7 linked regions of the Ovis aries genome follow. The protein of the gene in region 1 interacts with the protein of each later gene in a pairwise test. Links are inferred from orthologs where the notes say so. Each region holds a gene or a part of one and is shown in the gene's direction. Other genes may lie near its edges. The genes, in order: CTBP1, NOL4L, CRY2, KLF12, KLF3, NOL4 and HEMGN.

What was found.
Region 2: the proteins of CTBP1 (region 1) and NOL4L interact in binary tests that used the Homo sapiens proteins (3 or more experiments, as listed by UniProt). The link is inferred for Ovis aries from reciprocal best matches to the Homo sapiens genes CTBP1 and NOL4L.
Region 3: the proteins of CTBP1 (region 1) and CRY2 interact in binary tests that used the Homo sapiens proteins (3 or more experiments, as listed by UniProt). The two-hybrid records come from large-scale screens. The link is inferred for Ovis aries from reciprocal best matches to the Homo sapiens genes CTBP1 and CRY2.
Region 4: the proteins of CTBP1 (region 1) and KLF12 interact in binary tests that used the Homo sapiens proteins (3 or more experiments, as listed by UniProt). The link is inferred for Ovis aries from reciprocal best matches to the Homo sapiens genes CTBP1 and KLF12.
Region 5: the proteins of CTBP1 (region 1) and KLF3 interact in binary tests that used the Homo sapiens proteins (3 or more experiments, as listed by UniProt). The link is inferred for Ovis aries from reciprocal best matches to the Homo sapiens genes CTBP1 and KLF3.
Region 6: the proteins of CTBP1 (region 1) and NOL4 interact in binary tests that used the Homo sapiens proteins (3 or more experiments, as listed by UniProt). The link is inferred for Ovis aries from reciprocal best matches to the Homo sapiens genes CTBP1 and NOL4.
Region 7: the proteins of CTBP1 (region 1) and HEMGN interact in a two-hybrid assay, tested with the Homo sapiens proteins (2 studies listed by BioGRID and IntAct). The link is inferred for Ovis aries from reciprocal best matches to the Homo sapiens genes CTBP1 and HEMGN.

Annotation. Positions count from the first base shown.
Region 1 is NC_056059.1:117,891,533-117,895,762, forward strand, and holds the start of CTBP1 (C-terminal-binding protein 1), read left to right. Parts: upstream 1-1,430; 5' UTR 1,431-1,612; coding exon 1,613-1,652; intron 1,653-1,894; exon of another isoform or gene 1,895-4,051; intron 4,052-4,230. UniProt on the Homo sapiens protein: Corepressor targeting diverse transcription regulators such as GLIS2 or BCL6. Has dehydrogenase activity. Involved in controlling the equilibrium between tubular and stacked structures in the Golgi complex.
Region 2 is NC_056066.1:61,548,134-61,551,633, reverse strand, and holds part of NOL4L (nucleolar protein 4-like), read left to right. Parts: intron 1-1,232; coding exon 1,233-1,510; intron 1,511-3,500.
Region 3 is NC_056068.1:74,808,396-74,812,339, forward strand, and holds the start of CRY2 (cryptochrome-2), read left to right. Parts: upstream 1-1,144; coding exon 1,145-1,368; intron 1,369-3,944. UniProt on the Homo sapiens protein: Transcriptional repressor which forms a core component of the circadian clock.
Region 4 is NC_056063.1:49,622,989-49,626,914, reverse strand, and holds the start of KLF12 (Krueppel-like factor 12), read left to right. Parts: upstream 1-1,126; 5' UTR 1,127-3,926. UniProt on the Homo sapiens protein: Confers strong transcriptional repression to the AP-2-alpha gene. Binds to a regulatory element (A32) in the AP-2-alpha gene promoter.
Region 5 is NC_056059.1:58,646,304-58,650,458, forward strand, and holds the start of KLF3 (Krueppel-like factor 3), read left to right. Parts: upstream 1-1,355; 5' UTR 1,356-4,155. UniProt on the Homo sapiens protein: Binds to the CACCC box of erythroid cell-expressed genes. May play a role in hematopoiesis.
Region 6 is NC_056076.1:23,440,148-23,443,647, forward strand, and holds part of NOL4 (nucleolar protein 4), read left to right. Parts: intron 1-3,131; coding exon 3,132-3,415; intron 3,416-3,500.
Region 7 is NC_056055.1:49,766,583-49,770,082, forward strand, and holds part of HEMGN (hemogen), read left to right. Parts: intron 1-577; coding exon 578-1,641; intron 1,642-3,500. UniProt on the Homo sapiens protein: Regulates the proliferation and differentiation of hematopoietic cells. Overexpression block the TPA-induced megakaryocytic differentiation in the K562 cell model. May also prevent cell apoptosis through the activation of the nuclear factor-kappa B (NF-kB).

The DNA of each region.
Region 1 (4,230 bases):
GAAACAGCAGATGCGGCAGTGGGGAGGAGGACGCCAGGATGAAGCACGAGGCAGGCGCGGAAGGAAGGCTGGGAGAGAGGCAGGGGGCGGCCGGGGCTCTCTGACCCACCCCGTGCGATGAGAAGCTGGCAGGGCTCTGAGCAGGGTATGGCGGAATCCGATTTCCGTTCTCACGCTCACTGCGCAGCTTGCTGGGCTGGAGAGGGGCAGGTGACCTTGGGCTGGGGCCCGGGTAGGGAAGGAGAACCCTGGTCTCGGACAGCAGGGGCTGGAGGAGTCGCCTCAGGGGCCCCATCCTGTTAACTGAGAGAGCCAGAGGGGTGTGCGGGCCAGACACGTGCCCAGGTCTGGGGGTCCGGGCTTTCCCTTGTGAGTGGTTTTGTCTGTGTTCAGGAAAGTTCTCTGAGACTTGCTGAATGTTCATTTAACCCTGTTTTCTCATTTCCCCTAAATGTTCTAATTAACCCAATTTGGGAGGTAATCTCACAGGTGAGTACCAAGCACGAATTTAAAAGCATCTGTTCTGTGGCTAGATGCCCAGTTCCCCTATCGACGCTTATCAAACCCACCCACCCTTTCTCACTGGCTTGTGGATGTGCAGGATGTGGAGGCCAGCTGCGCTCAGCACGGTTCCTCGCGTTTCACCAGCCAACTGCTGTCCTGCTCAGCGTGCTTTTCACCTGTGAAGACAGGGGCACTGCCCGTCTTCAAGGCCACCTGCCAGCATTCCCACTGCCAGGACACCCCTGCTCTAGACATCACGGTCTCCCAGGGTCAGCCTCCGTCCTTGCCCATGACCGGAGCACCTTGACCTTGGGGCCTGGCGACCTCCCACCCTGGAGAGCCCTCCTGACCCTCGAGTGCCAGGACCCCTCGGGAGTTCTGGAACGAAGCACAGGTCGCTCGCTGGGGCTGGGGGTGGGGTGGGGGAGGTCGGATTTACACCGACTTCGGCCACATACCTGGCCGCTTCCCAGGGACCACTTCCACCGCCCCGGTTCCGGGGGAGCTGCCCCGCCCAGGCCTGTGCCCTCCTCGGTCCCCGGATCTCAAGCACAAGGGCCGGTTATCTCAGAGGAACCTCCGGGGGCGGCGCCGCTGCCTCCCCCGACCTCGTGGCCCCAAGGAGCCCAAAGGACCCTTAAAACCCGGGGTCGCAGACGCCGCTCGCTCGGCGGCCGGCGCGTGGGTGCGGGGATGGGAGCACGCGGGAAGGTGCACGAGGGGCTCAGCGGGCTCCAGGCCGGGGGGCCGCGGCGAGAGCGCGCGCGGGGCCCGCGGGGCGCCCGGCAGGTGCGGCCGGCGGGGCGGGGCGGGGCGCCGGGCCCGGGGGGCGGGCGGGGCGGGCGGGCGCGGCCTGCAGCCGCCCGCGTGGTCTGCGCGGCGCCCGCTCCTGGAAACAGGAGGCCGCCGCGCCGGAAGCCCCGCCCGCGCGCGCGCCCTGTCCCCGCCCGGTGGAGCGGCTGCTGGCGCGGCGCGGCGGCTCGGCACGGCGGCGCCCGGGCGCAGGCAAGCGGGCGGAGCGGCGGACGGCGCCCAGGCCGCGCCACGCGCCGGGCTCGCGGCGGAGCGCGCCGGACTGGTCGGGGCCCGCGGCCGCCCGCACCTTTCCATGGGCAGCTCGCACTTGCTCAACAAGGGCCTGCCGCTCGGTAAGGCCGCGCGCGCGCATTTCCGGCCGCGGGGGCGGGGCGGGGCGGGGCCGCGGGGGCGGGCGGGGCGGGCGCGGGCGCCGGCTTTGTGTGCGAGTGCGCGTGCGCGCCGGCGTCCGCGCGCCGGGGGCCGGGGCCGCGGGGGGCGCCGTGCGCATGCGCGGGCTGCTGCGTGCGCGCCGGCGCCCGGGGGGCGGGGCCGGGGTCAGGGCCGCGGGGGCCGCCGCGCGCGTGCGCGGGCTGCTGTGCGCGAGTGCGCGTGCGCCGCCGCCCCGCCCGCCCGCCCGCCCGCGCAGGTGACACAAAGGGGTGCGGGGCCCTGAGGACCGTGGCGGCCGGGACTCCGCGCCCGAGGCGGGGGCCCTGCCGGCCTGTCCGCCCTGCGGTCCCGGCTGGCGGGGCTCCTGCCGGCGGGGCCCCGCAGGGAGGCCGGGCGCGCCGGCGGCCCCGAGTCCTCTGGGGCTGGGCCTTCCGGGGCTTTGCGCCCCCGTGCACTGCGGCCCCGCTGTGGAAACGTCTGACGGGGCGCGGCGGCGGGGGTGACACCCGGCCCGGGCCCGTGTCCGCCCGAGCGGCCGGACGGTTGTGGCCGCGTCCGTCTCACCCCGTCCCCTCCTTGCTCTGTCAAGTGTGGGGAGCAGGCGCACTCCGTGCCCGGGCGGCGCCCCGAGCCTGCGGCCGGGGGCGGCCCGCGGTGGGGCTTTGCTGGCCGCCGCGCGCCGCCGCCGTCGGGCCGGGCCGTGTCCACCTGTCACTGCCCCCGAGCAGGCCCAGCTCCCCCGGCCGGGCCCCCCTCGCGCTGGGGGCGCGTCCGGGCCCCGGGCTCCGAGGTCTGTGGACGCAGGAGCGGCCGTGGGTCCGGGCGGGGCTCCCTCTGGCCGGTGCCTGCCTGCCGCGGAGGGTCCCCCCCCACCCCCGGCCCTGGGCTTGCCGGGAGGGCGGCCTGTGGCGGGCAGCCTCCTTTCCGGTGATGCTCTTCTCTGTGGTTGGTTAGGACAGGCTCGCTGTTGGGGCGTGCGATGGGATTGGTTTTCTTCCGAGCCCGCCCCGAGGAGTGATACCACCCCTCCCGTTTGTCTGGATGACTGGACAGTTGGGTCGCACATGAGGGGTCCAGAGTGGGGTCTGCAGGTCTTACCCCGCGGGGGCACCTTCTCCCTCTCCAGGATCCCCCCACCCAAGTCTCAAATGTATGTACGCAGAGGCAGACAGACACTCAGGAGAAAGCTCGTCTCCAGCAGTGTGGACGGGCGGGTGCCCTGTGGGTTAGCGTCTCCTGTCCATTCTTGCACGGGGCGGCATCCCTGAGCCTCTGGACGAGTGGCCGCAGCAGGCAAGAGCGCAGGCCTGGCGCTCAGGGAGCCCAGGCTGAGCCCCTGCCTGGTGCATGGTCGTGGCCTTGTGCTCTCTGCGCTGTGGCTGTAGAGGGGCTGGAGCGTTAGAAGTGGGGCCACGTGACGGAGCGGGTGCCACCTGTCAGGTGGAGGGGCAGGGCGGGGGATGGGGAGGGTGCTAGGCCCTGGAGGTAGGGGGCAAGGCTCAGGACCGGGGTCCCTGTGCAGACTGTCCCTCCGGAAGGCAGGAGGGTGGCGTGCAGGGCCGCGGTTTGTTTCACAGTGAACCTGCCCCTCTCTGTCACTTGATTTGGGTGAAGTTTTCCTGGGACTCTTGAGCATCACGAAGGTAGCAGGGCATGTGCACACAGGTGGGCGTGAGTGAAGACGGTGGCAGAGATGAATTCGAGTGGCGAGGGGTCTTCGTGACACATACGTGCCTCGCGTCACGGCTTTTATCTAGCACGTGTGCGGGGCGCCTTTTGGTTTCTGAGGAGCTGAGGACACTGCGCTGTGAGGCTGACTCTTGGTGGGTGGGCCTGCTGCGGGTGCTCTGAAGCCCTGTGTGCCTGGGGGAGCCCCCTGGCCTTGCCTCCAGGGGCTCAGCATCCACCACAGCCAGACCCGCCCTGTCAGTGTGGCCAGAACCCTGCTCAGACGGCTGTGCTGGGGGCAGGGGTGAGCTGGAGAAGGCGTGGCTGCTGCCGGCTCTTCCGACAGAGTGACACGGGGGTGGGCGGGGGGCCTTGGTGTGTCAGCTGTGACTCGTGGTCAGCCAAAGGGCACATCCTGACCGATGGGCCGGCTTTGCAGAGGAGGATGGGAAGGTACCAGGGGCAGTGACGCATGCGCTTCCTGCTGATGAGGCGTGTGCAAGGGACTGCGGTGACCAGGGGGCCGCAGTGTGCAGGCCGGAAGCCTGGTGGAGCGTGGGGGCCGTGGGGCCGGGGAGATGGCTGGAGGGCTGGACGTGGGGTCAGGGACCCTGTTCGTGGCTGCAGAGTTTGGAACTTGAGTTTGAGGCGGCAGTTCTGGGGCTGGAGCGGAAGCAGAGGCTGTTCGGAGGTGAGCTCTGGGAGTGTCCGCTTTGCGATGCTCCGTAGCCCTGCACCAGGCGGCATGAGCCAGTGCGTGCCCCTGAGCCAGCGCTGCGGGTGCGCTGAGGCCTAGGCCTGGGCTCTCAGGAACCCGGGGCGTTCTGCAGATGCAGGGATGTGCTGTGACCAGTCTGGGGGCTCAGCGAC
Region 2 (3,500 bases), on another chromosome or scaffold:
CCTCTGCCCTGGGCCTTGGCTGCTTGATGGGCAGCCTGGCCCCGCCCCTGGGCAACCGGCAGGCCAGTGATTGGTTGGCGCGCTAGAGCCGCTCGGTCGCCATGGGGACGCTCGGGAGGTGCGCGTGCCCAGTGCCCAGCACCAAGGACTAAATCTTCATAATCTGCTGGCTGGGAGGGGTGGGGGTGGGGGTGGGGTCGTGCGCGACCCTGGCGGAGGTGGGGGGGAAGGGGTGTCCTGGGATGCGGTCAGGGCTCCCTGCGGCCGCCCCTCCCCCTCCCACCCTGGTGGCAGGTGCAGAGCCGCTTGGGCACCTGGGCGCCACCAGGAACCACGCGGTACTCACCTGACAGTAACCCCGGGAGCTAGACTGTAGCTTGGGCCTCTGCCTTCTCAGCTGACCAAGCAGGAGGCAGGGGGCAGGGTCGGGGAAAGGAGCCTGAAATTCATCGGAAAGGTCTAGCCCCGGAGTTAAGTTTGTCGTCTTGGATTCCCCGGCAATGCTGTGCTCTCTGCAGCAGGGGGCGCCCTCCACAGGGCTTTGTAGGGCTGTCGCCGCAGGAAAGGCGGGATGGCCCACTGAGGTGCCGCGGACAGAGCCCCTGCAGCCCTGGCTCTGGGTGTCCAGTGTCGTGTGGCCATGCGGAGAGGCAGGTCTGTGTCTACACAGGCTGTCCAGGGTTGGGCCCAGGCCTGCTTCCTGGGAGCAGGGGTGTCACAGTGGAGCCATCCTTAAGTCAGGGGGTGGAGAAATTCCAGGGTCTGCGGTGGGGAGGGGTCCTGTGGGGAAGAGGGTGTGAAGGGGTGAGGCAGTGGTGAGCCAAAGGAAAAGCCCCGTGCAACCTCCAGGGGTGTCAGAGGAGCGCTGGGCCAGTGCCGGGTGGGTTAGACTGGAGGCTGCAGCCGCTCATCCCAGGCCCTGGAAGCTGAATGTGGCATTTGTACGGGTGGACGGCAGAAGGCCCCCACGCCCTGCACACTCCATAGCTGCTCTGCTCCTGGTGGCCCCGGTTTCTGGCAGCGGGACCCTGCCCCCGAGCTCGAGGCTGGGGTAAGGCTTGGAGCCTCTTGGAGCCTCCAGTAGGGACAGCAACGCTCTCCTGCCCAGGGATGCCTGTGAGGACTACACGGGGCAAGTATCACTTCCCTGAGCTGCCCTGCCACATACCTGGGGGTGTCTCGGGGCCGGTGAGTGCTGGGGTGGGGCCTCACACCCAGGCCTCTCGTTCCAGACGACTCCTCCTCTGAGAGCGGCAGCGGTAATGGCTCCTCCACCCTGAACCCGTCGACCTCCAGCAGCACGCAGGGAGACCCGGCCTTCCCCGAGATGAACGGCAACGGCGCCGTGGCCCCCATGGACTTCACCGCCAGCGCCGAGGATCAGCCCATCAACCTGTGTGACAAGCTCCCGCAGGGCTCTACTCTGGGCACGCCCTCCTACCCCTCCGATGGCTGCAGCGCCGATGGACTGCGGAGCCGCGTCAAGTACGGGGTGAAGACCACCCCCGAGGTGTGTGGGGCTGCGGGCTCCCCACAGTTGTGAGCTTCAGCCACTCCTGCATACACGGCAGGGTTGTGCGAGGCTGACGTGAAGTTGCGTGTGGCCATCACCAGCGGAGGCAGGGTGGTGGCCGTGGCCACTGTACCACCGTTTGCTTGGGGAGGTCGTGAAGCGGGAGCAGGCCCCTCACTTCTCCGCCTGTGTCCCCATCTGTGAAGTGAGGCTAGTGGCCTGGGCCCTAGTGGAGGTGGGGAGGGATGTGTGGCCTGGCCCCTCTGCCTCCATAACAGGGTCCGCTGTGAAGAGCAGCAGCAAGCGGGCTTCGCTCAGCAGAGGCCCCAGGCTTCCCATTTGCTGACTGGTCTGCACGCTTGTCCCCATTTTACAGATGGTGCAGATTGAGGCCTTGATGGCCTCAGGGACATGGAGGTATAAAATCCACTAGAGCAGTCTGAGGTGGGCAGATAGATGCCCCCCATTTGGCCTCCCCGACCTTCTCCTGTTACTTCTGCTGGTCACCTCCAGACCACGAAGATCTGCAGCGTGGCCTTGGGTGCGGGAGCTACCCCGGGGAGAGGGCATTTTCTCCTGCCAGGGCTGGAGGGCCAGAGGTGCTTTCTCAGACCCCTACTCTCCTGGGCTCCAGCCGAGGCCCCTGTTCAGGTTCCTTCTCCTCCTGGGGCCTGTTTCCTCTTCTGCAGGGGGTGTAGGGTGGGTACCAGTGCTGGCCTGCAGTGGTATCTCTCGTGGGATGTTTCTGTACAAGAGTCTCTATACAGTCGTCATACGGTCAGCGTACCCGAGCCCAGGCCACGGAGCCAGGACTGGCAGTGCATCGTCCTCCCCCTCCACTTTTATTTTTCCAATTTATTTTCTGGCCGAGCCCTGTGGCATGTAGGATCTTAGTTCCCCGGCCAGAGATTGAACCTGTGCCCCCTGCATTGGAAGCATGGAGTCCTAACCACTAGACCACCAGGGAAGTCCCCATCCTCCCCGTTGACTGAGTCCCAGTGGCAGGCACAGCCTCTGTACGGCAGGCAGAGAGCCGGCACGCATGAGGTGGCCGCTGTGGCCTCAGGCCACTCGTGTGGACCACGGAAGTGAGATGGGAGCGTGAGTGTCTCCTACAGTCTGTCTCCTCTCACCCTGGCTGAGGATCCGTCAAGGAGCGCCTGGGAATGTGACTGACCCATGGCCACTTTGACCCTCCTGTGCGAGTCTGACACAGCCTGGCAGGAGGCCAGAGGACCCGGCTGTCCCTAGCCCTTCAGAGACTAGGTGTGGTGGGCACTGGGTGTGATTGAGAGGTGGGCACAAGGCCAGGGACCCTGGGAGGGCTGACCCTGCTGCGTGTGGTCACATGGAGGCTGGTGGTGGCAGCTACTGCCGGACAGGGCAGCAGTCAGTGTGTCTTTATCCTTTTGTTCATCAGCAAGAGCTGGGTACCACCTGGGCCACTGTATAGCCATGTGGCAGGGTCTGATCTGTTTCCTGGGGTTGACCACCTACTAGAAGCTATCCTCTGTGAGGGCAGAGGATCCCATTTCAGGACCTCCCTGTGTTTCCAGGACACTGCCGGTCAGGACTCGCCAAAGCCACAAACTTTCTAAAAGGCAAACGACAGTGGTCTCTGGCCTTACCAGAGCATGTGTGGCAGGGGGCAGGAGACAGGATGGGAACTGAGCTGTAAAGGATGAAAAAGAGGGAAAAAGCAGGGAGGAGAGTGGGGAAGTGTATTCCCGGGAGAGCTAGGGAAGGGCTCCTTATTCTGGAGGGCAGAGGAGGGGTCCCGTCTCTGCTCCTGCTGCAGGACAGGGCGGTTGCCCCGTGGGCTGGGCCTGGTTCCCTCTCCTCTTTCTACACACGGGCTCTGCATCAGGTTGCCGGTGACTTCCGGGGGTGGCGGCAGACGGGAGAAGCCCAGCCCAGGAGCTGCGGGGATGCTCTGCCTGATGGCCGTCTCCTTGGCTGGTTCTCTCCCAGCCCATCTGTTCCCTAT
Region 3 (3,944 bases), on another chromosome or scaffold:
CTGTGCAGGGATTTCCCCAGCAAGAATACTGGAGTGGGTTGCCATTTCCTTCTCCAGGGGATCTTCCCAGACCAGATATTGAACCCATGTCTTCTGCATTGCCAAGTGGATTCTCTTTTACTAAGTCACCTGGGAAGCCCTGGTGAAGTCACACTGAGCAGAGACACAGGACAAACTGAAATTAGAAAGGGGGTGGGGTGTGGTATGTGATCCAGGTTTGAGGGAACAGTTTGTACAAAGCCCTGACAATGAGAGAGCCTAGGATTGCAATAACACTGTGGTTTACAGAGTTGTTCCAAGTAATGCTGCTAAATTGCTGGCTATATTGCTAAACTCCTTCATTTCTCATTCCCAAGTTCAGGAAGTGTTCTGAGCACAGGCACACCTAGGGCCAAATTGAGACAGATTCATTTGATGACCCCCAGAAGCAGAGGACCCCACTTGTCAATCTCACACAGACTTCAGTCCAGTGCTTTGCATACAGAGGTACCACTGAGTCTACTAAACACAGAACAAACGGAAAAAATTCATCTGAAGGCATCATTACTACCTCAAATCACATCCTCCACGTTTCCAGTCCCTACTCCCAACCCATCTGCTGCTGCACAGCAGGGCACCTCTCCACGCGTCAGTGTAAGGGTATTATCATGCTGCTTGGCTTAAAAGATGCACTCAATAAACAGTGGCTGTAGTAAAATGTAACGATGTAGAGTGAGGTAGGTGACGATGCTATCGATGACGATGATGACGTAGGGCAGCCATTTGTTCGTCCTGTTAGTCACTTTTTGGAGTCACAGCAACCCCGCCAGCCCGCACAGCTTCAAGCAAGACGTCTGGGATCCACTGTCCTTCCAGACACCGTCCACGCCCAGACCTCCCTGGGAAGCTCCACTCTATCTCGCCCTAGGGCTCCTCTCCAGAGAGCCCACACATGGCGGGAACGTGAGGGGGCGGGGACAGACCAGGGCGCCTCAGAGCCAATCGTCCGGCGAGAGGCACTCAGCCAATAGCAGAGGCGCTCCAGGGTCGTGGGGCGGGGCCCCAGGGAGGAGCCGTGGCGTCATAGGTCACTGGGCGGGCCGGGGGCCAGGCCCGCGGCGCCTATGGGGGCGGGGCGGTGGCAGCTCCAGCAGTCAGGGCGGTGATGGCGGCGGCGGCAGCGGCGACTGCCTCAGCGGCGGCGGCGGCCCAGGCGCCCGCGCCCCGTGGGGACGGCGCCTCCTCAGTGCACTGGTTCCGCAAGGGATTGCGGCTCCATGACAACCCGGCTCTGCTGGCGGCTGTGCGCGGGGCGCACTGCGTGCGTTGCGTTTACATCCTCGACCCTTGGTTCGCGGCCTCCTCCTCAGTCGGGATCAACCGATGGAGGTGAGGGGGGCCCCGGGGCGGGGGCGCGGTTCTTGGGCCCGGAGCACGCAGCCTGGCCTCTGGGGCACCCACCCTCAGAAGCGGAGGCTCTGGTCCCAGTCGCCTCTGCCGAAAGACCCCGACCTTAAGGAGGTGCAGCAGGGCGACGGAGCCAAGTGCCCGGAGGGGAGAAGCCGGGACCGGGGAAGCAGTGAGTCCCGGTAGTAATGGCCTGGGGTCGAGGGGTTAGCCTCAGGAGGGCTAGCCTCTGACACCGCGGGTCCGCACTGGGTGCTGCCCTCTTTGGTTGGTCCTCACGACGTTCCTGTGGGACAGATCATGATCCCCGTTGTACGGGTGAGACTCGAATCCTAGAGAGACAAGCTGACCTGCCCGAGGACTTGCAGCCAGTGAGTGGCAGAATAGGGACTCCTGTCTAGGCATGAACCTGGGGCGGGGTGGGGGTGGGGTGAGGACAGGGAGGGTTCCTGAATTGACAGCACAGCAGATGCCTGCGTTCTTCAAGTAAAGAGCGCATTGCCCAGCTCCTGAAGGTCATCTTTAAGCCCCGGGGCTTTTTTAATCCATTTTTTTCATCCATCCTGCCTTCCCTCCACCAAGATCATCCTGTCTCTGGGAGATGTCTAGAGACTCTGGCTTAGCATCAGATAAAGCAAAGTGCCAGGCTCAAGGGCATGTTCAGTTAGAGACACTTTGTCCTGAGCTAGAGAGCAGAGAACAGTGCTTAACCCACTTTGGAGAATTCCCTCAGCAGCTATGGACTCACCAGGAAAAAAAAAAGAAAGGAACCAAAAATGTCCCCTCCTTCCTCTTCTTCTCTCAAGACTGATTTTAAAGCACGGATGAGCGATTGTGAATTAGACTTTTATCAGCTGACGTGCTGAGATAGGGAGCAGGAAAGCAGTGGTATCGAGGGCCCCTCTTTGATGACACCCAGGAGATGGAGTGGACAGGATCATGGGAAAAGATGAACAAAGAGGCAGTGGATGTGCTTTCTCTCTAAGCAGTGTTTGAAACCAAGGGGTTCTGAGACACTGTGTTCCCATCTGTGTGCAACACGCCCTGCAGTAGTCCTCTGGTTTGTTTGCATTATTCTGGAGGATATTTGCTTGTGGCCTTGTTGCACAAGGGGCAGAGTTATTCCCGGGATACGCCGGCTCTCCACCATTCTTTCCTTTCCAAGGTGTGTGCCCTGCGAGGAGAGTGAGTGCCCCCAGCAGTGGGTCTATTCAGTGCCCCTCCCGCCCCACTTAATATAGTATTGAGAGAACCACTAAAAACAGTCCTGTGGAGAGCCTGCCCACACAGTTTTCAGCTGCTGTATTGCTCTGCCTCTGCTCCAGTTTCTATAGATAGGAGGTTGGGGTTGACAAACACTCTCAAATGACCTGCCATCCCTAGCATGGACTGAGTCTCAGACTCTGCCCCTCTCCCAGTGGCAGCGTGCCAGGCAGAGTAAATAGAATCCAGACTGCTTGCTGGTTGTATTGTCACGAAGGAGGTTCTTCTTTTATTAGGTTTTGGAGGACATTGCATAGGACTGCCTATACTTTTGTGGTAGTGGAGGTCACAGATCAATGACGAAAACTCTGTTGCTGATTAAACTCAGATGCTCGGGTCAAATCCTGAAGTCAGAGGCCATGCAGGAATGCAGATGTTAATGGAGCAATTATTTAATGAATGCCTAATATCTGCCAGGCACTGCTGCTAGGGACACAGCAGTGGACACACAGATGTGGTATCCAGAGCACCCGGAGCCTATGTTTTCGTGGCACAAGACAAGTAACCAGCCTTCCTTTAGTAGAATTGATGCCATGAAATAAATAAAACTGGGGGACATACTAGGGCAGTGGTTCTTAACCTTGCAGCACACAGGAATCATTTAAGGACCTTTAAAAGATGCCTGGGTCCCCTTCTCTCCCAGTTCTATTCCATTGTTCTGGGTTATGGCCTGGGCACTAGGGTCTTTAAAGCTGTCATGTGCAGCAAAGCCAGAGAAGCACTGGCCCGAGAACCCCAGCCTGACAACTTGGGATACGTGTTGCAGCTCATTGGCAAGAAGTGCGATTTGTTTTGGCATCAGACGAGAGGTGAAGTCACCCAAAGTAGATGGAATACGATCATTGCTCTTGGGTTTGGACACAGATGCATTCATACCACCCCCACCATACTCTGCTCCCAGGTTCAGCGTGAAGGCAGAACTGCAGGCGGTTTTGTGCATTTTGTTGGGGGTTGAGGGAGAGATAGAGCCAGACGCACCTCTGCATAACTACAATAGGTGTAGTCTTCCAGTGGCTGTTTCTGGATCTGGAAGTGACCTGGGAGAACTGTGCCACAGCAGAACATTCTAGCTCTGCAAATACTTCAGTTGCTGCTTCTGAGAAGCCTCCGCGGAAGAGTGGGCTCCAGGCCTTCTGCCAGAGGCCAGGGGGCCACAATCTGTGTCTCTGTTATCCTCCTGCACTTCCTACACTGACTCCCACACTGCGTTCTTCAGCAGATAAATCAGATTAAAATAACCATGAAGGACACTTTCTAAGAGTCAAAATGGACAGAGAAAGGCAGCCGAGAATATG
Region 4 (3,926 bases), on another chromosome or scaffold:
GCCGCCGCGGGAGAGCCGGGCCGCGCTGCCCGCCTCCCCTCTCTCCCGCCCCAGAATCTCGTCGATCCGCTCTCCGGGGCGCGGAAGCGGCGAAGGAGGGAGGGACCCTCGGGAAGGGCGTCAAGGACTCAGCTCCGGGCTGCTCGCTTCTCGGGGCTCCCTTCTGGGGAGCGAGGAGGGGAGGGCCGGACTCCGCTCTCCCGCAGCCCCTTGGCCGGTATCTACAGCTCCCGCTTCCTGCCCAAATTCCGAGCGAGGGCGGGCATCCCATCTCCCGGGGCTCCGGAACCGGGCGTGCGGCTCCGCCTCGCCCCCATTCATCCCGCCAAGGTGAAGCGCTGCGCGGGAGGACGCCCTCGCCTCGCCCGCAACTTGCGTCGCTCGAGAACCCAAACAATGATTTCCCCACCGCCTTCCGCACCCGGCCCTGCGCGCGCCCCACCTCCGCGTGCGCCCCCGCGCCCAGGGCACCTCCCGCCCGTTCGCCCCGGCCGGGACCCCATTGTTGCCCGGCGCGGGCGATGCCCGGAGCCACGGGGGCGGTCCCCGCGAGCGGTCCCGAGCCGCCGCCGGCCGCTGGAGCCGGCTCCGCCCACACCTTTCCAAGTTAGCTGGTGGGTGAGCCGCGGGGACGGCTCGGGCGCCCGGCCCCCTCCCCGCACGTTTCCACCCGGGCGGGAGGGGAGCGGCGGGGGCGGAGGAGGGGTGGGCCGAGCGGGCTCCGCGCTTTATTTGTCTCCAAATTCCCTTCCTAAGGCAGCCTAGCGCGCTCTGGCACAAAAGAGGGGACTTTCTGGCGGCTCCGCGCGAGTCCGCTCCCGAGGAGTTGAAATCGGGGGCTCCTCCCGCGGGCCCCTCGCGCCCCGCGGCTCCCAAGGCAGTGTTGGCCATGTGTGGGTTATTTTGGGTGCCGCAGCAAGGTGGTGCAGGTGATCGCGAAGCGCGGCCGAGGCCGGGGGGCGGGGGCAGGGGTGGGGCGGGGTGGGGCGGGGTGGAGGCTCCGCGGACCCACCCCCCAAGCCGGCGGCCCGGGCGGCGAGGCGAGGGCCGGGCAGTGGGTGTTGCCTTCTACCTCTGCGAGCGGGGAGGGGTTAGTTTCCCACAGGGGATTTCAACCATCACACTCAGAGCCCGCCTCCTAATCCTCGGGCGGAGCGGCTCGGGGGCCCCATTTTATGGCAATAAAGCGACTTAGCGCCTGCTGAGCGAGCCCCTCCCCGCCGCCGCCCCCGCCCTCGGCCCCACCCCGGGGCTCGCCCGCAGCGGCGGGGCTTTGTTTCTGGGGAGGAGGACCCGGAGCTCTTTTGTTTGGGGGTTTGGTGTTTTCACCACCCGCCCCCCCAACTCACCCCACCCTACCCCACCCTTCCCCACCCCATCCCCCCGCGCCTCTCCGGTTTCCTGAGCTGCGGGCTGCAAGGGAGGAGAAGCGGCGTCTTGCAACCCCCTCGGCTGGGCCCCGGGGTAATTCGATGCGGGCCTGGCGAGGCTCCCCACGCTAGACCCGGGCTCGCGTCTCGGCAGCCTCCACCCACCGGCCCACCCTACATTTAGCGCATCATGTGATCCGGGTAAGTCATTTGCAAGTACAACAGTTCCCTGGGTTGCCCCCCATTCATTTCCTGAGAACTGCAGAGAGCAGCTGAGAGGCTCTGCCCGTGCGTGTGCGAGTGTGCGTGTGAGTGTGCGCGGGTGACGCCGTGTGTGTGTGTGTGTGTGAGCGTGAGTGTGTGCGCGCGCGCGTGTGAGAGCGAGAGAAAGGGAGAGAGAGAGAGGGGGACTCTGGGTGAGGGAAAGAAAACAATTTCTCCTGCTCTGCAGCTTCTGTTCAGGTCTGTGCCGATTCTGTTTCTTATCAAAATAAACAACCCCCTCCTCTTTTTTTTTTTTTTTTCCTGGTGCCATCCCAGATCAGACCGTAGTCTCTTAATGTGTTTTATTTTTCTTCTGTCATCTGCTCAAGTTAAGTCATTTTGGTTGGTCTGTGTTCTTAAAGGGGGAAAGTGTTGGGAAGCGGGGCGGCGGGGGGGCGAGAGGGAGGGCGACGCTTTTGCAAAGCAAGTAGCGTCGGTTGGATTCGTGGAGAAGAAAGGAGATTTCTCCCCCCCACCCCATTTTTTTAAAAAGAACTTATCAAGTAGCTTGAATTAAGCAATATTTTTCTATCCCTAGTGGAATTGTTGTTTGCAGTGTTTGCCTGACAGTTGCCAAGGATGGGAAATAAAACACCAGGGCTGAATTGGGGGTTGGGGGGGGGGAGCTTGTGGAAGTAGTTTGCCCCCAGGAATAGAGCGAGTTGGGTGACGAGCTGCCCCACCGGGCCGTGTGGGCTGTGGGTGTGCACTGGAGAGAGCGGAGGGGAAGGGGTTAAAGCGGAGATGACACTGCTGGCATGAATAGTGGTCCCGGTGCCACATTCATTATTGTCTCTGGTCGTAATGATGTGTAACTGTCACTTGCTACAGTGCCTGGTCTGTGGAAGTAGCCGGGGGGCTGACCCGAGGCTGTTATTTTCAATTACGGGGGACCTGGCCGGAGTTGACAAGGGGCAACTTTGCAGGGCCACCCGGGCGGGAAGCCCGCGGAGCCGGCCTGGGAGCCACTTCTTGCCTTTAGAGGAGGACTCGTACTTGACCTCCGCGACATTAGTTGGTGTTCGCGTTAGATGCTTCCCTACAGGAAGAGTCAGTCCTGCTTTTCTTGGGCAAAGAACTGCCTGTTAGAACTTTGAAAACTTTTATCTTTGGGGAAAAGGGTGGGGTGCACTCAACAGTTCAGTTTCGAAGTGCATTTGGGGCAAAAGCTTGGAAAAAGTACCAATTCCTTTGTTACATGCCCTGCAGCTTCCCAACCCCCTTCACCCTGCGCTTCGAGTTTTGCATACTTTAATAGTAATAGCCTTAATTCAGCTGGTAAAAGCTGACTGTGTTGAGTTAGAGAGTATTAGTACAACGGAATGTGTAATCTGGATAAACAGTTCGCGTGGTTAATATTGTCAGCTCTCTAATTTAACTGTACGGATGGTTTAAGTGTCGCGCTGTATGGATTGTTTTAGGCAATTCCACTGGCTAATGGAATCCTCAGCCGAGCCCTCGGATGTTTTGTTTTAAATCAGCTTTAATATTCTCTCAGTTTCCCTGAAACACCAGGGAGAGGAGCAGCTCTATTTACATTTGGTGCATGTGCGTCTAGTGGCTTCGGTAGACATCTGCCAATCAACGGACGTCATTCTGCAAATCCACCTAGACGCCTCCATGCCCTCTTCCTACTGGAGGATAGAGTTGTTCAGCTAAGTAAATGCCTTGAAATGAATTTGGTGGTTTTTAACGGGCAGCGGCTTGTGATGGGGGAATAGGAGTGGTCGCTTCGAAGGCTGGGTGTATTCCTTCTTCTAAGAAAGGCTTTTTGAAATTGGCATTCAGCAAAAACAGTGACCCCTCACCTAAAAAATAAAATAGGCTGGGAGTGCTATTTGTAAACCTCATTCATTTTTGTTTACATTTTTTTAAAAACCACATAGAAATGGGTTATGATAAAGGGATATACTTTTCGGCTACAAAATGTTTAACTTTAGCAGCTTAGAAATGAGATGTTGAAGGACAAACATTCGGTTGCATAAGTTGTATCTTTATGGCTGCAGCCTGGTCGATTGGATTAGGTTAAACTCCTTTGAGTTGGGAGAGGGTTTTGAGCATACCAGAATTGACAGGAATCTGTAATGTAATAAGGAAAGGGGTTTTTTATTTTATCTTCTAATTCATAATTACTATGAAATACACTAAAGCTGGTAAAAGTTGGGATGGTTTCACAGAACATTGTAATAATTTATGCCCTAAAACTATTATCGCTGTGGGAGATAAACATCCTTGAGGGGTTTCTGTGTATTTTTGAAATATTTCAGTTATTCAGTAGTTTCACTACTAATG
Region 5 (4,155 bases), about 59 Mb from region 1:
TGACGCCCGGAGCGGCCAGCGCCGCCCTTCCTTCCCCCCGGGCTCGGGCGGCGGCGCGGCGGCGGGGCCGGGCCGGGCTGGGCCGCGCGCTCCAGGGCCGAGGGCGGAGGGCGCCGGGAGGGGGCGCGGGCGGGGACTCCGGGGGGGAGGGGGAGGCGGAGGGCGGGGGCCGCGCACGCCCAGCCCCACGGCCGCGCCGCGCCTCGCGGGACAGGTTGGGCCGGCGGGGCGGCGCCCGGCTCCGGGGAATAATGAGTGTCTGTCAGGCCTTCCCCGGGTGACTGGGCGGGGCGGGGCGGAGGCGGCGCGGGAGGCGGGGGTGGCGGGGGAAGGGCGCAGGGCGGGGTGCGTGTTTGCGCGAGTGACTCGGCCGACCCCTCCGGCGGCTGCCTCCACCCAAGTGGGTGGGGACCCGCCCAGCCCGGGCGGCCGCGGCGGCTCCCTCTCCCCTCCCTGACCCTCCCACCCCGGGTCCCAGCCTCTACTTACCCCGCCAGCCCTGGGAGGCTCGCAGAGCGAGCGGCGCCGGCGTCATGTGACTGCCCGGAGTTGGTGCCAGGAGCCAGAGGGGAGCCAGGAGCGGAGCCGCGCGGAGCCCGGGCCCTAGCCGGAGCGCAGCGCGAGCGCCCGCCGAGCCGAGCCGCGCCCGCCGCACGCGCGCCTGTCCCCGTCCCTGTCCCCTGCGGCCGCCGCCCGTACTGGAGCGCTGACACCTCTGCATCCGCGGGGTTCCAGGCAGCCCGGATCCGGGCCTTTATTTCTCGCCTGCAGCGCTCAGCACCGCGCCTCGAAAAGTAAGTCCCCTCTCGCTCACCTTTCCTTCTCGCCCCGACTCCCGCTGCCCCCCTTTTCGGCTAGTCCAGTTTCCTTTTTTTTTTTTCCCGGGTAGGGGGGCGACGTGCGGTGAATGGGCTGGGGGTGCAGCGCGGAGGTGGGGGCGCCCCCGGGCTTGGGAAAGTGCAACAGCTCCGCGCAGCCGGGGGCGGGGGTGGAAGAGGAGGCGAGGGGGAGGGGGCCCCCGGGTTCCGCGGTGGAAAGTGTAGGATTGGGGAGAACCGCCGTGCAGATCTGCGGGAGCGACGAGCAAGGCCAGCGGCGCCCGCCGCGGCCCGGGATAGGGCGCGGGCGGGGGCTCACCTGTGTGGTCCCCCGACCGCCTCCCGCCTGCCCGCTCGCGATTCCCTCCAAAGCCCCAGAAATCTTAGTGTTCTCCGCGTGTGGCAACGTTGTTTGGAGAAAGGTAGCGCCGAGGCCGCGCGCTCCTGCTCCTCCCCCTCCTCGTCCCCCACCTCCCGCACCCTCCCTCTCCCCGCCCCCCGCCTGCGCCCCCTGCCGCCCCCCTTCTCGGACCGGGCGCGCTGCCGCTCACCCGTCGCCGGAGCAAACTTGGAGCAGCCTGGCGGGCCCTCTGGGAAGAAACTTGGGGCGATCGGGAGTGGAGGGAGCATCCCATTCTCGGTCCTGGAGTCCAGGAGCTGGCCAGGGCGTCTGGATCCCTGAGGGCAGGGGAAAGAGCTGGCCGGGTTTGGAGAGTCGTCCTCGGGTGCAAGGAGAGAACCTGCCGCAGTGTCTGGAGGAAGGATTGCAGCGTGGCTGGAGGCGAAGAACGCCTTAGGCGACTGCCTGCAGTGTTAGGGCCCCGAGCCGGGTGGGGGCCGAGGGAGGGATCTCTGGACCTGGACGCTTGGGACCTACCTTTGGAGATAGCAGACAATACCTGGAATTGTCATAGCTACTTCTCTGGCAGATAAAAGCGAGAACAGTATTCCACTTTTACAGCAGTATATAAAACTAGATGAAGACCGTGTGAATGGGACTTTTTTTCCCTAAGCCAGGTTAAAGGGAAATTGGTAATTGCTCACCTTCTTGTATTTCACTAAAATAAACATTGTACACTGAATTTGTTTTTTACTAACTCAGAATGTATTTTTCGATAGGTCATCCAAGACATTTTAAACATATTGATTATATTCTCAGAAGAGTCTGGTGTATAGAGAAGTGTGAAGTGGTATTCTGACTTCATTTAGATTTGGTGTCTAATTATTAAACAAAATCAAGTAGGGTATAAGGCAGTTGTTCATTATAGGTTACTTCACAGAACAGTTTTGTGCTGTCCTTTTCTGAGTGCTTTATATGTATGAATTTGAGGAGCATTTTTAAAAGAGAAATTCATCCGGATGATAATCTGCATAACCCAAGAGAAGACTTGCTTTTAGGGGAAAAAATTTTTATGACACTAACATCTTGAAAATTTTGTGAGTTAGTAGTATTTTTTAAAGAGTGGATGTGTTTCTTCTGTGGCTTGAAACATGAGGTATGGAAGTTGACTTTGTTCTGTTCACAGAAACCTTAAATGGGATGTTTAATTTCATTCAGTTCCCTAAAGAAGCTGATATCTCAATTTCTACAGTCAGTGGGGTTTGCTGCAGAACTGTTAGAAAAAAGCAGCCTAATGTACCATGGGTGAGGTCAGTGAAAATAGACTATAAGGAGCATTCTACCTGCCTGAAGGAAAATGCAAGTATGAAAATCCTTAACGTGAGAAGAACAAAACTAACTGCTTAGACCACAGAACCTTGTCAGATGTAAAACATGGCAACATAGCTTTGGAGAAAGCTATTGTTTTTTTCACTGCAAAGTTTCTAAATTAAAACCCAATCTTCTGGTTGCTGTGGACACAGTGATGCCTTTTTTTTTTCCTTTTTTTCTTTTTACCTGTAGTTATATGTACACACAGATTCTTAAATCTCTGCTAATAGGAACCTAGTTAAACAGTACTGGCTAACAAAATAAAGAGACATAATGGGGAAAGGACTAGTGAATGGATTTTGCTACCTTACAAATGCCTAAAGGAAAATAGACATTTTAGAACATCTTATAAAAATCGATACTCTATTCTACAGATTGTATAACAATTTTTCAGTTGGATTAAATGAAATTTCAGGAACAGAATTGCATTCTCAAGGTGGATTTCTGTAGATGTGTGTACATGTAGAACAGATGTGCAGCGGTGTGCAAATATCTTTGTAACTCTGCAGTTGAAAAAGACTGAAAATTTGGGATGACTTTAGAGGTCTCCACGCTCTTTGTCTTAGGATTTAGTTCTGTGGCTCAGGAACACTTAAAATTGGTCCCATTCAGTTATGTGGGATGACCCAGTGTCATCTGAATCCTCAGCTGCAGTGCTCTCTCCGTTTCCTCCCGATGCTCTGAGACTGTGCAGTATGCATTACCCCAACCCAGAATTTGACTGTAGCTAGAGACCAGCCATTGGGATGGGGGAGAAAGAGACAAAAGAAATTGGCAGGGAGGCTGGTGTTAATTAGGAAGGTTGCTGCTGCTTGAATATGATAAAATCACATGTTCACTTATGATGTTTACTGTATGTGGAAGCTCCTATTTGTAAATAGGGCAGGTCTCCTGTATAAAGCTGGTGTTATTATTCACACCCATAGAACAAACACCTCCACCCCCCTGTTGTTGTCTTAAAAAACTCCAGCTGCTCATGAATATAGGGTCAGGGAGGGCCGGCTAAATGTTTCTCTGTGCTTTCTCTCCAGCACAGCCAGCAGAGCTGTTTCCTGTTCTTTGTTTCAAGGCTGGGGTTTGCGTCATACATTCCAAGTGGCATATGTGTGCTCTTTCCTGTTTCAGGCTGTTTTCTGGTAGATCAGTAGCCCAGACCAGGCCATGGTCCCTGCCCTCAAACTCCCTGTCCCCACCCAGGGAGTTATCATGTCTCCACACACTTAGGATTGCCTAAGATGCCTGTGTTATGTCATAATGACAAAAGTCAGTTAACCTTTTTACGTACACCCTTTGCTCCAATGTGTTTATATGGGTGAATAAGTAATTTTACATTTTTTTTTTAGTTTATTAGTTCAATTTCAAGAACTGTGTGTGTGTGTATTGGCTGGAAATCTGAAGAAGGCTGTTTTGTTTGCTTTTCCTTCTTGTTTTGAGTATTGGTTTGGCGATAGGCATTCTACCCTGGAGCTGTCAATTTTGGATGAGGTTACACCTTACAATTCAGAAGAACTAGCAGGATCTGAAGGATGTGGCTCATTGCATTTACCACTGGACACTAGGCATAGGAGGCTTCACTGAACAGATAACTCTGAGCAGTCTTGGACTGCTTTTACAGATCTTGCTTAT
Region 6 (3,500 bases), on another chromosome or scaffold:
TTGTTTTTTTTCACCAAATGAGGTCCGTTTTTGAATGGGTACATAAACAGAGTAATTTCTTGTCCTGCAAACTCATTTTCATTTTCTCACAAAATATGTTCAGAGAATTGCTTAAAAAATACTATTTTGTTGAAAATTAAACTGAATGCCCTTTGTTTTTATTTTTCACTAGAGTGAGAAACCTAGACTTTTTCCTAGCCGTGTATCCAACCATTATCAGTCTTACTTCTTCTCTTTTTTTTTTAAATTTTTACTGAAATATATTTGATTTTCAAGTATGCATTTGTTTTAGGTATACAGCAGAGTAATTCAGTTATACATATGCATATGTTCATTTTTTCAGGTATTTTTCCCATTTAGGTTATTACAGAAGATTGAGTAGAGTTCCCCTTTGCTGTATAGTAGGATCTTGTTGGTTATCTACTCATTATATTTAGTAGTGTATGTATGTTAACCCCGAGCTCCTGATTTATCCCTCCCTCCAATGTTTTGCCTTTGATAACTGTATGTTTGTTTTACATATCTTTTCTATTCTAAAATAGTTTTAGTCACCCCCTCTTACTCTGCACTGCTGCTGTTTTACTTAGAGTTTGTTGAGCTTTCAACAAGCTGAGTTAGATGACTTCTACATCTCCTAAGGGTCCCCCCAGCTTCCAGATTGTTGCCTTCATACCATTCTCCTCGTCAAAGACAGAGTTATCTCTTTAAAACATTTTTTTTTTTCACATTACTTCCCACAGGTAATTAAAATTACTTGTTTGCTCTCAAGATAAAATCCAAGTTCTTTGATGCACAAAACACTTCTTTTCCTCCCTTTTTAGGTTTCCCTTTCATCAGTGTCTCTTTGGTACTCAGCTCAGTACTCTTATTTCTCATGGGCCTGATTATTCTTTCCTCTGTGACTGCACCTGACAGTTTCTAGGTGGGGAAGTCTCTTCACCTGATTCAAGCTTTGGAATTCAACTCCAATGCCACCTTCTTTAGAAAACCTTCTGGATATCTTGATCCCTTGTTCTGGATCCCTTGTTCCTTTTTTTGCTCTGTATTTTAGCTTCATCTTTATTTTTCTGTTACGAAATTATCTGTGAACCCTTTGAAGGCACCAGATTCTCTATTGACCAAATATTTTACCCACTTTTGGCCAAAATCAGGCACTCAGTAAATGTTTGTTGAATAAATAAACTAACAGGTGAGTTATACCACTCCTTCAGAATGTAAACATTATTTCCGTGATTTCGATTGATTAGAAGATGACAAATATTTCATTGTACTCTACAAAAGGAAAGCAAACTTGAGAATATTGGAAATCAAACAAAAAATTCACAAAAAGTCACAGATATTTGCATGGTTTCATCAGTGACTCTGCTCTAAAGGAAGCAGTTTAATGCCTTTCTCAGTCATAATCTTTTAAAATGAATAGCAAATTCTTACTATGAATATAAAGAAGAAATTAAGACAAACAGAATTTTATTGTTTAGGTAAACTTTATTTTTGTTTGCTCTCAATGATATTATTTCCTTCTAACCAATTTTCTTCTGTATTTTAAAGCCAGAAGTGTTCTTAGTTCTGCTTCTTCTCCTTCCCTGTTTCTTCTATAATTATTCCATTTTTGTTATTAGAAAATTATATATTATATGTTATAAATTATATACTTTACAGTACATTATGAATTCTATCAGTTCAGTTCAGTTGCTCAGCCGTGTCCGGCTCTTTGCAGCCCCATGAATCGCGACATCCCTGTCCATCACCATCTCCCGGAGTTCACTCAGACTCACGTCTATCAAGTCCGTGATGCCATCCAGCCATCTCATCCTTGGTCGTCCCCTTCTCCTGCCCCCAGTCCCTCCCAGCATCAGAGTCTTTTCCAATGAGTCAACTCTTCGCATGAGGTGGCCAAAGTACTGGAGTTTCAGCTTTAGCATCATTCCTTCCAAAGAAATCCCAGGGCTGATCTCCTTCAGAATGGACTGGTTGGATCTCCTTGCAGTCCAAGGGACTCTTAAGAGTCTTCTCCAACACCACACTTCAAAAGCATCAATTCTTCAGCACTCAGCCTTCTTCACAGTCCAACTCTCACATCCATACATGACCACAGGAAAAACCATAGCCTTGACTAGATGGACCTTAGTTGGCAAAGTAATGTCTCTGCTTCTGAATATACTATCTAGGGTGGTCATAACTTTTCTTCCAAGGAGTAAGCATCTTTTAATTTCATGGCTGCAGTCACCATCTGCATCTATGAACTCTATATAGGGTAGATAATAGAGAATATGTTAGAAAATCCAGTGCCATACTGTTAAGACAATATCAATATTAACATTTTAGACTACAGCTTTTCAGTCTTTTTGTTTTTGTATTTATGTTTTCTTTTCAAAAAATTGGGCTCATATTGACCACACCTTTCTGTAACTAGCTTTTTCCATTTAGTGCCTCTTGATTCACATTTTCCTTTATATTTAAAATGGGATATTGACTAATTCCATAATATTCTAAATGTTTCAACATACATTAAGCCAAATTTCTATTTTTGACAATCTGTATCATTTCTAAAATTTTGTATTATTGATATAAGCAACACTGATTTCAGGGTCTTTTTATCTGCAGAGAGATGCCAGCAATGATTAAACCCCTTAGGCTTTAAAGCCTTTATAATGGCTGAGCAAAATTTCTGAGTACTTTTGATGTTTCAGATGCATATTAAATGCCCATAAAGCTTGTACTAGTATATAAGCTGCTAGCAGGGTGGACAATGCTCTCATCAGAGAGTTTTCACTGAATCTGGACAATCTCACTGAAAAAAACAAAAACTACTTGCAAAATAATCGGCAATTTTTTAAAATTTACTTTTCTTTGAGATTGTGTTTGCAATTGAAAGGCTTATTTTGTCTTCAGATTATTTTATCTTCTATTTATTTTATACTTCACTTCTTGTGCCTACATATGTATGCCTTCTAGGTTAAAAATGATACAGACTACTTCACAAGTTTTTGCTAAGGATAAACTGCACATTATATGTAAAATTGGTTAGTACCATGCCAAGCTCAGAATAGGAGCTCAATAAATGTTTGTTGAAGTAGAAACTTATCAGCATATCAATTAAAATCAAAATATAAATTTTTTCTTTCCAACAGATGATTCTGCCACAGAGAGCTTCAATGGCAACGAGACTCTGGGGCACAGTTCAATTGCTTCAGGGGGAACACACAGCAGGGAGATGGGCGACCCCAACTGTGATGGCAAAGCTGGGCTGGAACAGGACGAGCAACCACTGAACCTGAGCGACAGTCCCCTCTCAGCACAGCTGACTTCGGAATACAGAATAGATGACCATAGCACTAATGGAAAAAACAAATATAAGAACCTTCTAATTTCCGACCTCAAGATGGAACGAGAAGCAAGAGAAAATGGAAGCAAGGTACGGTCATGTTACGATTTTCAATGAATTTTTAAGTTGGTCATGAAAGTCGCAAAGAAATACGTATACAGGAAACAAAGATCAT
Region 7 (3,500 bases), on another chromosome or scaffold:
CTCTTAGCCTGTTTTACACAAGACACTGTATTAAATGAGCAAGCCAGGCTCATCACCTGCAGGCTTCACAGATGTGAAGCAGGGCTGCGTTGCAGATTTAGCAACACAATCATATCAGTTTTCCCCACCGGCATAGAGAAACGAATTCACACAGGCTAAACCCAAAGAGACTATTATGTAAAACAGAATGCCAATCTGTTCATTTATAATATCAGTGATACATTTTCTATAACCAAAGTTTAAGTATACGCTCTCAAACACACACACACACACACACACACACACACACACACACACACACACACACACACACTGCTCACTAAGAAGGTGCTTATTGAACCAGTCATCAAAGACAAAAAAGTCCCAAGGGTCATTTCCTCTCCGGACAATTGAGAACATTTAGCACTCCTTCTTCATTTTACACACAAGGAGATTGAGGCCTGGAGAGATTAAGTAGCTTGTTCAAAGTCACGCCACTAGGCAGTGGGAGTCCTGGACTCCCTGGAACAGTTAACTGCCAAACATTTATTTGAATTCTGGATCCCTATTTTTGATAGTAATTCTGATTTCTCCATAGAGAGAAAAAACACAAGCGGCAAAGAACAGGGAAAAGAAATGAAAGAGGCAGAAAGAGACAACAAAATACAGAAATGAAGGTGGAGCTTCCATCACAACTAGAAAGGGAAATGATGGAGAAAGCACCAGCACCTGAAGAGAAAGAAATCGAGCCACCTGGGAGTGTGACCAAAGCTCTCCTTCCGGCAGTGTCCCCACAAAGAGTTGCACCTAAGAAACATGTTTCTGAAGTAGGTCAAGAAAGTGTTATCCTTCAGGAAAATTCTTCTGAGTACCAAGCAATAGCGGTACCAAACCACCCTTCTGAAATAAGCCAAGATAGGGCTGAATCTGAAGACCTCTCTCCTAAAATGTGCCAAGAAATAGCTATATTTCAAGACCAGCCTTTCAAAATGTTCCGTGATATGGCTCAGCCTGAAGACGTCTCTCCTAAAACATGCCAAGAAGCCACTGCAGCCAAAGTCCTTTCTTCGAAAACATCTGAAGATACAACTGACCTGGAGGAACGCTCTCTTGAAGCACACCCCAAACCAGATGCGCCCAAAGCCTCCACTCTTGAAACATACCAGAAAAGACCTGAGCCTGAGGAACCCGATTCTGAACCAGGTCAAGGAATAGTTGAGACTGAAAGCTTTGTTTCTAACACACAGCAAGAAATGGCTGTGCCTAAAGAGCTTTCTACAGAAATACACCAGGAAACAGTTGAACCTGAAGACTTTTCTCATAAAATGTATAAAGAAATTGCTGTGTCTAAAGCCCCCTCTCATAAAACAACCCAAGAAACATCTGTTCCTGAAAAATATCCCCCAGAAATGTACCAAGAAACACCTGGGTCTGAAGAATATTCACTTGAAATATACCAAGAAACACCAGGACCTGAAGATGGTGCACCTGAAATTTACCAAGAAACACCTGGGCCTGAAGACCTCTCTACTAAGACATATAAAGACAAAGATGTTCCTAAAGAATGCTTTCCCAAACTGTACCAGGAAATAGGTGGACCCCAAGACCAGGATCCTAAAGCACACCAGGAAGATGCTAAGGATGTTTATACTTTTCCTCAAGGTATGGGTTTCTTACTGGGGTCAAGTTAGTGACACTGCCATTTCTTAACTGCTTCCTGTTCATAATCAGAGCACCAAATAGGCATCTCTCCCTTGGAGCACTGATTCATAGCCTTCTGTGACAATCCTGGGTTATCCCAGTTATCTCAATAGGTATCTTTGATGCCTTTGTCCAGTTTTAAGTGAAAAATGTTTATCATTCAACTGATATATATTTGGTATATTTCCATGTAATTTAAAGAAAATAATTGAAACTATAAGTGTATATAGTGGGTACCTATACATACTATGCATTTTGGGAAGCTTTAGTAGGTGAAGAAAAATGAACCCTATGTAGAGTCAATTATGTGCAAAATGTTTTGGACAATTACATTTATATTAACACAAAATCTTGGTGAATAAAGTTTTTTTTTTCCTAGAAAATTAACATTTCCTGGCAAACTAAAGGCAAGTAAATTCATGGTACAAGGTACTGAGAAAGATACAAAGACATAAAGTAGGATCCTGATACTAGGGAACTCGTTGTTATAGGAGTTAACAGGCTTACCTTTCTATTTCAATATTTGTCCCTGAAAAGCATAGTATTTTAAAAGCAATGTGACCTTTATTCAACTTTACTTGTCTCAGGGACATATGGAGAAGGTGATGGCACCCCACCCCAGTACTCTTGCCTGGAAAATCCCATGGACAGAGGAGCCTGGTAGGCTGCGGTCCATGGGGTTTCGAAGACTCAGACATGACTGAGCAACTTCCCTTTCACTTTTCACTTTCATGCATTGGAGAAGGAAATGGCAACCCACTCCAGTGTTCTTTCCTGGAGAATCCCAGGGATGGGGGAGCCTGGTGGGCTGCCGTCTATGGGGTCACACAGAGTTGGACACGACTGAAGTGACTTAGCAGCAGCAGGGACATAACTGAGAGCCTTGGCTCTCCTTGTTCAGTCCTGTTCTCGGTGTAGAAAATGGGCTGAGCCTAGCAGTCTATCCCCAGGGAATTGTTTTCTAAAGAAATTCCTTTGGTAGCTTATTTTCTCTTTCTCCTAAAATATGAGTGCAACAAAAACCTGGGCTTAAGTTGGGTTCCAAGCAATATAGGTTTTGAGGAAATACCTTTTTAAAATTACAGTAAAAGCAGACATATGAAACACTACCTGTATTGACAGGAGTCCCCTGCTGGAGACGTGGCTCTAATCAACATAGCACCAGATTCTCAGGGTTTTGTTCTAAACCCAGTGAGGTTAAGACAGGCAATTAATTAATTATTTTATGCTTTTTGGCAATTAATGCTTATCTTGTTTTTTCTTTATCTTGCCAAACAAGTAGAAATGTCTTCCTTTTTGCTGATTATAAAATTGCTATAATGATAATTATAAATGTTCATTATAATAAATTAAAGCAATATCTAAGTGACTATAAAGTGCCCTATGATACCACTTCCTATCTCTGACCCCCAATGTTAAGTTTTTGTTTTAGCAAATGAGATGGTACAATAACATTCTATTCTATAACCTGCTTTTTTTCACATGCCATGTATATTGTGGCCATCCTAATGACATCTTTGTAACAGTTGTTCAGTATTATGTTATATATACAGCAATTTATTCAACCAGTCCTTATAATGATGAACACCTAGGTTACTGCCAAGTTTTACTATTGTAACAATGTTCAATGAACATCATGGGAAGTAACAGTTGTTTAAAATTTATTATAGCACTTTCTATCTGCCAATCTCTCTATTAAACATTTTTTGTGAATTACTTTATTCAATGTTAGAAACCCTAGTGGATGAATAATATGTCCCTATATTATAGGAAAGGAAACTAAGGCACTGAAAGCTTAAGTTGATCTGATTACTTCCTTG